Linked DNA regions of Arabidopsis thaliana. The protein of the gene in region 1 interacts with the protein of each later gene in a pairwise test. Each region holds a gene or a part of one and is shown on either strand. Other genes may lie near its edges.

Evidence for each region.
Region 2: the proteins of AT2G17150 (region 1) and AT4G24700 interact in a two-hybrid assay, tested with the Arabidopsis thaliana proteins (one large-scale study listed by BioGRID).

Annotation. Positions count from the first base shown.
Region 1 is NC_003071.7:7,465,939-7,473,364, reverse strand, and holds AT2G17150 (Plant regulator RWP-RK family protein), read left to right. Parts: upstream 1-1,778; 5' UTR 1,779-2,190; exon of another isoform or gene 2,191-2,491; intron 2,492-2,670; 5' UTR 2,671-2,831; coding exon 2,832-3,665; exon of another isoform or gene 3,666-3,946; coding exon of another isoform or gene 3,947-4,015; coding exon 4,016-4,063; intron 4,064-4,142; coding exon 4,143-5,151; coding exon of another isoform or gene 5,152-5,234; exon of another isoform or gene 5,235-5,477; coding exon 5,478-6,316; 3' UTR 6,317-6,678; downstream 6,679-7,426. Other genes in the region: AT2G17160 (Interleukin-1 receptor-associated kinase 4 protein), read right to left, coding at 579-611. UniProt on the Arabidopsis thaliana protein: Probable transcription factor.
Region 2 is NC_003075.7:12,743,760-12,746,876, reverse strand, and holds AT4G24700 (uncharacterized protein), read left to right. Parts: upstream 1-1,524; 5' UTR 1,525-1,638; coding exon 1,639-2,070; 3' UTR 2,071-2,307; downstream 2,308-3,117. Other genes in the region: AT4G24710 (pachytene checkpoint-like protein), read left to right, coding at 1-46, 125-195, 295-385, 505-632, 740-868, 985-1,125; NBR1 (ubiquitin-associated (UBA)/TS-N domain-containing protein / octicosapeptide/Phox/Bemp1 (PB1) domain-containing protein), read right to left, coding at 2,675-2,776, 2,855-3,117.

The DNA.
Region 1 (7,426 bases):
GAATGGCTTACATGGTTTGAAACAGAATGGCTTACATGGCTTGGAGGAATTCGCTTTCCAGTTAGCAGATTCACAATGATATTTAGTACCAAATCAATGTCACACTTTTAGGGTTCACGATTCCTACAATAAGAATATATTATATAACATCACATTCAGATATGAATAGTATGAAGAGACAAGCAAGAACTGATTACCTCTTGTTCTTTGACTTCAACATATCCATTAAGCAAATAAAAACAGTTAAGCATACTTAATTAGATCATTAAGAAGGCATAAGCTTGAAAATGTTGTTTCGTATACCTTATCAAACAGAACCGAGTAAGCACTTAAGTTACCGTACGATAAAACATGTATTATTCCAATAATCCAATGCTTCTATTCGATTGTACGGGAAATTATTATATGTATCTTTGAAAACGCCTTGTATGCACCAAGATAAGGACATAAAATTTAGTTAAATCACACCGTTTTCATTACAAAAATGTGATATCATCTTATCATGGGCATATATATATATTTTACAGGTTTTTTTTTGCTCACACAAAAATTGTTCATACAATCAGTAATTACTTTACCTCAGGGTTTGGTCTCCTAGCTTTTGTACCCATCATACTCAATCACGAGATGGTTTGACATCACACGACTTACGCTATACATAACGATTAATGAACATAATTTAGTTTTTCTTTCTTTTGTCTCGGATCGATCAATGATATTGATCTTATATGATATCAAAATCTTATAGTACTGGCAGTGAGATTAAAAACACTAATTTTAAACGACATTATTGTTACATGTGTAGATAGGACCTGCCGTATTCAGACGAATAACAAATGACAAATCTAAGAAATAGAGGAAGAGAGAGAGAGAGAAAGAGACGTCGTGCGCATTTATAGTATAAAGTATAAACCTTTGATTATTATTGATACGTTATTTATGATTTACACGAGGATTCAACTATTTTCAAAGAGTTTGATGACCTTTGGTTTGGTCATGTCATTGTCCCGGACGCGGCTAATGGGGATCGGACTATGGCTCCCCAAATCATTGAGGGCCGTTTTGATCATTTAACTAAGCGTCTAAGCCCGACCCGTTGGATATCAATGTACATATTAATATATTATATACACAAATATTCAAGTTTAATCATTAAATTTGGTTGAATGATGAAACCTAAGATGAATGATTTGTTTCTTCTGTTCGCTTTTTTTTTTTGGGTTTGTTTTTATATCGATTTAGATAATGTGTAACATTGGGAAGTTCACAACCTGTCTAGTTAGCACCCAACTTATGACAGTAATTTTTGTCATGAAATTAATAAAATGACGACATTTTGGAACATAAATAGCAATTTCATGTGTAAGAATAAATATTACCATAATTGTGTGAATCATTATGCCTTTAATGCAATTATTTATATATCGATCATATATAGATTCCATCCTATATACAAAATGTTTTAAACTTTGAGACTCGAGCTGATGTCAGAAAGAATATTCATATAAGAGAAATCGAAAATAAAGTATTAAAGGTCAAACTATATTGATGAACGAACGAACCTGTTCAACACGAAAGACATGTCTTCTCTAAGAAATGATCTTGATCCGATTGATACAGCCAAGTTCTAACCAATGAAACATCCCCGAATAAAAAAACACAAAGTACCGACGAAGAAATAAAACAAAGTGTACGCATACGTAATCACCACAACTGTTATAGTAATAATAATAATAATCTTATACGAATTAATTATGATTAGGGGCAACAAAGAGGAGGTCAGAATAACACCAATCACACGATTAAATAAGAACATTTAACCATCAGGCTCCAAACCAAAACTTAGAAACTTGTTTTTTTTTTTTGTTTCCTTCTTTGATCTTTCTTTCAGAAGAAAAGATTGATTTAAATTTGAGAAACCAAGCGACTGTTTGTTTACTTTCTTTATTATTACAGATTTACAGGTACAGACAAAGTTGTATGTAAGTGTGATTAGAACAGTGGATGCTCTTATCACGGGTCCACTTGCTCTCTAAAAAGAATATTGAAGCTCATAATTACATCTTTAGAGACTAAAACAATCTTAATCATTCACCTTCACCAAGTACTTGTGTCCAGAAGAAAAAGAAGGAAAAAAAGAACACACCATTCAAGAAAGAGAGAAGCTTCTTGTGATAAGAAATTTCACAGGTTTTGTTTTTGTTTTGTTTATATATATTCTCAGATTTGATTTTGCTTACCATTATATGTATGAAGAAATAGAGAGACCAATTACTTTTTACATTAGACAGAGTAAAATCCAGTCTGTGCATCTTCTCAATGTTTTTTTTTTGTTTGTTGGTGCTTTCTCTAAGTGTTCTTGGGTATAGGTCCCAAAGTGAAGCTTTTTCTGTTTCTTTGTGCAAACAAATCTTGATAAAGTTAGTAACTTTTGGTGAAAATCTTACCCTTTCATGGACAATCAGATTTGATTTCGTTTCCATGTCCATAGGTGAGAATTTTGTAATTGAAATTGATGGCACTCTACTTTGATTGATGGATACCTTCTTAAGTCAACTCTTCATTGAAAGCGAAGCTACTTATATAGATTATATAGCATCTCTATGATATGATTCTTCTCTTGTCTTATTCTTGGGTGGGTCTTTGACAATGTTTCTGCAACTTTTTCAGATTGGGTTTTAACATTCCAAGGAGAGGACTTTGTCTTGTCTCTATTCATCTTCAAGACCCTTATGAGTTTCGGTTCTTGAGTAAACAACAGCTAAGCACAGTCTCTGAGAACTTGAGGATTTGGTAGTATCTGTTGGAGGTATAAAAACGAATCTTTAGACATGGAAGATGATGGTGGTAGTGATGGAGGCGAAGGAAATGGTGGGTTTTCACCTAATTCTAGCTTTGGGGCATTCGCTGACACTGCCATGGATTTGGATTTCATGGATGAACTCTTGTTTGATGGATGTTGGCTAGAGACAACAGATAGTAAGAGCTTGAAGCAGACAGAACAATCTCCTTCAGCTTCTACCGCCATGAATGACAATAGCCCTTTCCTCTGCTTTGGTGAGAATCCATCTCAAGATAATTTCTCTAATGAAGAAACAGAGAGAATGTTTCCTCAGGCTGAAAAGTTTCTCCTAGAAGAAGCTGAGGTGGGAAAAAGTTGGTGGATTGCTCCAAGTGCAAGTGAAGGCCCGTCTTCATCTGTGAAGGAGAGGCTACTACAAGCTATTAGTGGTCTTAACGAGGCGGTGCAAGATAAGGACTTCTTGGTTCAGATATGGGTGCCAATTCAGCAGGAAGGGAAGAGCTTTCTTACTACTTGGGCTCAGCCACATTTATTCAACCAAGAATACTCCAGCCTTGCAGAATACAGACATGTTTCAGAGACTTATAATTTCCCGGCTGATGAGGGTATGAAAGATTTTGTGGGTCTTCCCGGTCGTGTTTTCTTGCAGAAGTTTCCTGAGTGGACTCCTGATGTGCGTTTCTTTAGAAGAGATGAATATCCACGCATCAAAGAAGCACAAAAGTGTGATGTTCGTGGTTCACTTGCCCTTCCTGTTTTCGAAAGAGGTAGTGGGACTTGTTTGGGTGTTGTTGAGATCGTCACAACAACTCAGAAGATGAATTACCGGCAAGAACTTGAGAAGATGTGTAAAGCTCTTGAGGTTTTGCCTCTACCTCAAACTACTCTATAGATCCCGCAACGCTTACCTCACATGTTTAGACCCATACAACCAGTAAACCTCATGCTTGAATGTATCTTTCACTGGATGGCTTTCTCTGTTTGCTCATTATTCAATTCCTCACATTTGTCCAGTTTGTTTTTTGGTTTTCTTTAGAGTCCAACAACATCTTCTGCATACGTTTGTACTTTGATTGTTCTACATCTTTCTTTCTGCATCATGTCTCCTCCTGTCAGTCATTCAGCCATAATCTTCTTTGATTAATGTCTGTGATAACAGTGAGAAGTTTTGTTTATGTGCCACAACAGTCTAAAGACGCTGCTGTTTTGCAGGCCGTCGATCTAAGGAGTTCAAGTAACTTGAACACTCCAAGCTCTGAGGTGCATTAACTGGATTCTTAGTTCATTCAGCTCCTAGAAACAACGATATGCATTGCTAAGGTCATACTCCATGTTTCAGTTTCTGCAGGTCTATAGTGATTTCTACTGTGCTGCATTACCTGAAATAAAAGATTTCCTGGCCACAATCTGCAGATCATATGATTTTCCTCTAGCTTTGTCATGGGCGCCGTGTGCTCGGCAAGGGAAAGTTGGTTCCCGACATTCTGATGAGAACTTCTCTGAGTGTGTTTCAACAATCGATTCTGCTTGTTCTGTCCCCGACGAACAGAGCAAAAGTTTTTGGGAGGCATGCTCTGAACACCATCTGCTCCAGGGGGAAGGCATTGTTGGGAAAGCATTTGAAGCCACCAAACTCTTTTTTGTGCCCGAAGTGGCCACATTTAGCAAGACTAACTACCCCCTTGCACACCACGCCAAGATATCTGGACTACATGCTGCTTTAGCAGTTCCATTAAAGAGCAAATCTGGTTTGGTTGAGTTTGTGTTGGAATTTTTCTTTCCGAAAGCATGCCTTGACACTGAAGCGCAACAGGAAATGCTCAAGTCACTATGTGTGACACTGCAGCAAGATTTCAGGAGTTCAAATCTTTTCATCAAAGACCTAGAGTTAGAAGTCGTATTACCTGTAAGAGAGACAATGCTCTTCTCAGAAAACCTGCTATGTGGAGCAGAAACCGTAGAGTCGTTGACAGAAATTCAAATGCAAGAATCCTCATGGATCGCCCACATGATAAAGGCAAACGAGAAGGGTAAAGATGTATCACTTTCTTGGGAGTACCAGAAAGAAGATCCTAAAGAGCTCTCATCTGGCCGGGAGAACAGTCAGCTTGATCCAGTCCCCAATAATGTTCCTTTAGAAGCTGAGCAATTACAGCAAGCATCAACTCCAGGACTCAGAGTCGACATCGGTCCAAGCACAGAATCAGCTTCGACTGGTGGGGGAAATATGTTAAGCAGTAGGAGACCAGGGGAGAAAAAAAGAGCAAAAACAGAAAAGACCATTGGCTTGGAGGTTCTTCGACAATACTTTGCTGGAAGCCTCAAGGATGCAGCCAAGAGCATTGGTGGTAAGAGAATGTTGTACACTGCTGGTGACATAGCCCCATTCTTTATGAATTTTGATTCTTATTGTTTCTTGGGAAAAGCATAACCATTACGTTCATTAGTCAAAACCCAAAACATTCCAAATGAATATGTTGAACAAAAATTCATGCCTCAGGATATGTGAAAACTCCATGGCCAATATACATAAATATCAATGAAACCAGAAGTCAGTCTTACATTATATCTATGTGGTAGTGGATCAATCATCATGCTCTACAAACATTTTCATCATGGCTATTTATCTGTCTCTCAGACAGTGATCTGACAAGGTTTCGTTCTTGTGTTGCAGTTTGTCCAACTACCTTGAAAAGGATATGCAGGCAACATGGAATAATGCGATGGCCCTCCCGAAAAATCAAGAAGGTTGGGCATTCGTTGAAGAAACTCCAACTAGTTATGGACTCTGTCCAAGGTGCGCAGGGCTCTATCCAACTCGATTCATTCTATACAAGCTTCCCAGAGTTGAACTCCCCAAATATGTCTAGCAATGGCCCTTCCTTGAAGAGTAATGAACAGCCAAGTCATTTGAATGCTCAAACCGATAATGGTATTATGGCAGAGGAAAACCCCAGGTCACCATCATCTTCTTGCAGCAAGAGCTCTGGTTCAAGCAACAATAATGAGAATACTGGAAACATTCTAGTTGCTGAGGATGCTGATGCGGTGTTAAAGAGAGCTCATAGCGAAGCACAACTGCATAATGTGAATCAGGAGGAAACAAAATGTCTTGCAAGAACCCAGAGCCATAAAACATTCAAGGAGCCTCTTGTTCTTGATAATTCATCTCCATTAACAGGTAGTAGCAACACGAGTTTAAGAGCTAGAGGTGCCATCAAAGTGAAAGCGACATTTGGTGAGGCCAGAATACGGTTTACCTTACTCCCGAGTTGGGGCTTCGCAGAGCTGAAGCAAGAGATTGCTAGGCGTTTCAACATAGATGACATTTCCTGGTTTGACCTTAAGTACCTGGATGATGATAAGGAGTGGGTTCTTCTGACATGTGAAGCGGATCTCGTGGAATGCATTGACATATATAGATTAACACAGACCCACACAATTAAAATAAGTCTGAACGAAGCTTCTCAAGTCAAGCTAAGTGGTTCTTTTGGCAACACTGGTCTTTCCTGAAAAACATTAAACGAAGTTTTGTAACTGCAAAGCACCAGGAAGATTCTACTGATTTTTTTAGCTTTTGTAGAAATCTCACTTACCTTTTCAGCATGGGAATCCTGTATAAACATATTTCCAGTTCCCTGAACAACATTTTGGAAGTGGCAGTAGTAACTGGTCTCCTGTATTGCCCTAGCAGATTTTTGTATAAAAGAGATGAATTCCATAGACTTGTATTTTATGCATGTACAATCTTATTGTCTGGTTTCTTAAACTCTGCAAGACTGGAACTATGGCGATTGAAAAATTCTGTGTGTTTCGCTTATTTATTTTTGGGACATGTCTGGTTACAGGATACTATCTAGTCCATGATTGCATTGATGTACATGGAAAATAATGTGCCGGGATTCAAGAATATCCATTTCATGATATTGATTATGAGATTAAACATTTAAAACTGATATTGTAAAAACAGGAAAAAATAATCTGTATGGCTATGTTTAAGAAGAAACCTAGTTCCAATTAAGCAGCTAACACTTGGTGGTCTTCCACGTTTTATAAAACTTAGTCTCTTTGTATCCCCACTACAAACTCCTACTGTTCCAGAACCAGAAAATGTGCCGACAGAAAGCACAAGAAAGCTTACATTTTCTCCAATAATGTAGATTGTGTTCCTCCCACCCAAAATTCAAAGTTGGGCTCAAATTCTTTATGAAAGCAGGCAGCTCTTATGTTTAAACGTCGTTCTAACAAGGATATATTTGTCCAGCCATGTCGTCTTGTCTGGTTCTACCAGCTTAGCTACAAAGACAGGAAAACAGAAGGTGAGGGTCCAATTCTAAAATATTTTTCCACTGAACATGAAGGTTATTAAAAATAGATTGGATTCCTCAACATTATCCGTGATACTTTTACCAGAGAGTTATATTTAGCTTCGTTAGAGATCTCTCAACCTTGTACATCACAAGCTACTATAAGGCTAACATCTTACACATGAGCATGGAGACAATGATCAAAAGAGTATGCCACAAGATCATTATTTGATTATAAAATTAAATACTACTGTCCAAAGTAGGAAGAAAATGAAGAAAGTGATGTGAAGTCCTACTCTACGTTACTTTAAATTGA
Region 2 (3,117 bases), on another chromosome or scaffold:
CAAGAGATGGTGGAGGAAGATGGAAATCTGGTATTTGTTTTGATCGGTGAGTTATGATTTTTTCATAACTTTTTATATTTGCATGCTTATTTCTTGTGTAGGCCTGAGATTGTTTTGCCTGCAGATGAAGTAGAAAGTCTTGCTGCTGCTCGAAAAGCTGCATTGTCTGGCTCAGAACCGTCAGATTCTATCCGGGTAGACCAACTAGCTTCTAAATTTCGTATACACCTAGAATTTGTGAAAAGATCAATTCTTAACCCTTGAAAACCAAATCCCCCTATTCATATGTTGCAGGTTGTGAATGCACTACTCACCCAAATGGACAAATTGAAATCAGCACCGAATGTGATAATCCTTACAACATCAAACATAACTACTGCTATTGGTAGCCTATTTTGATCCTGTCCTCAGCCTCATGACTTTTTCTCTAATATAATAGATCTTTGTTCTTCCGCATAATATTCACGTTTTGTGAGATGTCACAGATCAAGATATTTGTTGCAGATGTTGCTTTCGTGGATCGAGCTGACATAAAAGCTTATGTTGGCCCTCCAACTCTTCATGTTCGTTATGAAATATTAAGGTCTTGTGTTGAGGAATTAATAAGTAAAGGGATCATATCAAGTTTCCAGGTACTATATAAGAGCATATCATATAGGTTTCGAATTCCATATTTTCCTGTTAATACCACTGAAGGAGGAGCAATTATATCTTATAAGCTCCATAAATCTTGGTATAGGGCTGTGATGGACTCTCTATTCCAAGCTTTTCAAGTTTGAAAGAAAAGTTAAGTGAAAGTGAGGTTCATGATACAAATACAGTTCCTTGGTTCTGCAAACAGTTGATAGAAGCTGCAAAAGGGTGCGAGGTTAGTCTTTGGGAATACTTTTATACTGATTGTAGAGCAGTGAGTCAGTGAAAATAAAACTGAGAATACTCTTAAAAAAAGCAAGTATGAATTGGGATCAACTTCTTGATGTACAGGGTTTAAGTGGGAGATCATTGAGGAAGCTTCCGTTTTTAGCGCACGCAGCACTTGCAGATCCATATAGCCATGATCCAAGTAATTTCTTGTGTACAATGATAGAAACAGCTAAGAGAGAGAAGTCTGAACAACCTGAATGACCATTTTTGTGAGGTCATAAACAAATAACAATGAAGTTGTGTTGTTCAGAAAAATGTTATGCTAATTGTTGATTAAACATCACTTCATCATCTACAGCTATGATGAAGGGGAAAATGCTCATTTTATTATTTTGTGATAAAGAAACGCAGATCACGGGTTGAGTATTAAACATGGGCTTCAGATGCCCAATGGGTTATTACCATCTTTAACATCTCTAAATTGTTGACAATAAACGAATCGATGATAAATTGATAATGAACAATTGTCAGCAACCAAGTCATCTGATCTGTTTTTTTTTTATTTTTGTTTTTGTCATCTGAAAATCTAAAGGCTAAGAAAAAACGAGGCATGAAAATAAATAATAAACAAAGAAAGATGAAAAGGAAGAGACAAGACAGAAGACAAGACAGAAGTGAGTAGATTCGAACAAGAAACTTAAGGCTGACATTAAACCTTACATAATAAGACTTGGATCCCCAAAAGTCCCAAAATGGAGAAGAAGAAGAAGAGAGATGAGGAAGAAACGAGAGGCTAAAGATGAAAATGAAGAAGAAGAAGAGGAGAAGAAGAAGAGACTAGAGTTGATGAAGGCAGCTGCGCAGGCTTGGCTCAGCCACTCCCAAACCTCAAAACATACTGTTTTAGAGTTCGATGCGCAGAGAAAGCATGCTTTTGTCAAAGGGAAGGCATCACGTTTCAAAACGGAAGCCTTGTCCGCAAAGCATCATCCGTCGTTTTTGGATTGGGAATTCGGACAGTCGCTGTGGGATCCCTACGAGATTCTTTCGGTCTCTAAGAAACTGGAACGCGAACTCACTTTAGAAGAACAAACCTTCTCTTCTTCAGATAATGATGGCCTCAAGAAGATGAAGAAGAAGAAAACTAGAGACAGCAGAAACAGCCTTAGGAGTTTGTTCACTCGTTCGTCTTCAAAGAGATTCTAACAAACTCATCATGTTACTACTTCAAACTTGTAAATTTTTCTCAAAAAGTGAAATCAATTATGAATGTCTTTTATTGGTCTATTCAAAAACTTTTATTGGTTTTTGAATGGTTTCTATGGATAGAATAACAAAGTTTTGTCAGTTGTAAACAGTTTAATGAAGCCGACCACCATGACTAATTGCAACTGCCATGCCGATGATTCGACCACGTGAAAATGTCACCTGATTGAGAGAGATGAGAGGGTAAATGTGAATTAAAACAGTACGTTGTTTCAAGGAAAGCTCTTCTCACAAACTCACATTAAGCCAAATACAGCTGAGAAATGGAGACCAAAAAGGCCTAAAGTGATGAAATCAATAAAAAAGACTCAACCATTCATTTGACCCGAGGAGCAGAACGACATAAACTAAACTGAAATAAGAAAGAAACCATCCATGTCTTAGATAGAGTTAACATAGTAACATCATCCCAACACAAAGCAAAGGAACAGACCATGTGACGCAGCACGAAACCAAACTAAGAGATCAGGTTTTATTTATAAAACATAATTATTCCTGATAGATAAGAGAGATAGAGAAGAGTTGCCAGAAACCAAAGAGCTCATCAAGCCTCCTTCTCCCCTGTGAGGAGATCCATTACCACGCCTTTGATGCTTCCATTGTTCTTCTTCAGCAGTCTCTTGTTCGTCACATCATCACAGAAGCCCTGCAAAATCACAATATTTTCAACATTCCAATCTGCAAAGTAAGATTTAATAAATTCACCAAGTGCAGACACACTTACCATCTCCTGAAGCTCCTCTAGGATTGGATCCCACTCGCTAACTCCACAAAGAGCATCAACAGACTGCTCCAGGTTGTACTCGTTATCCCTCAAGATCTCCTTGTTCAAATCTATCTCCTTGAAACCCATTTCCTCGAGCTCCTTGAGCATGGTTATCTCCACGTCATTCTTTTCTATATCCTCCTGAAGAGGAACTGGCACGTCTTTTGTAGTAGATGAAGAACCACCAGACAAGACCTCAACAGCAGGCATGCTTGGGAAGT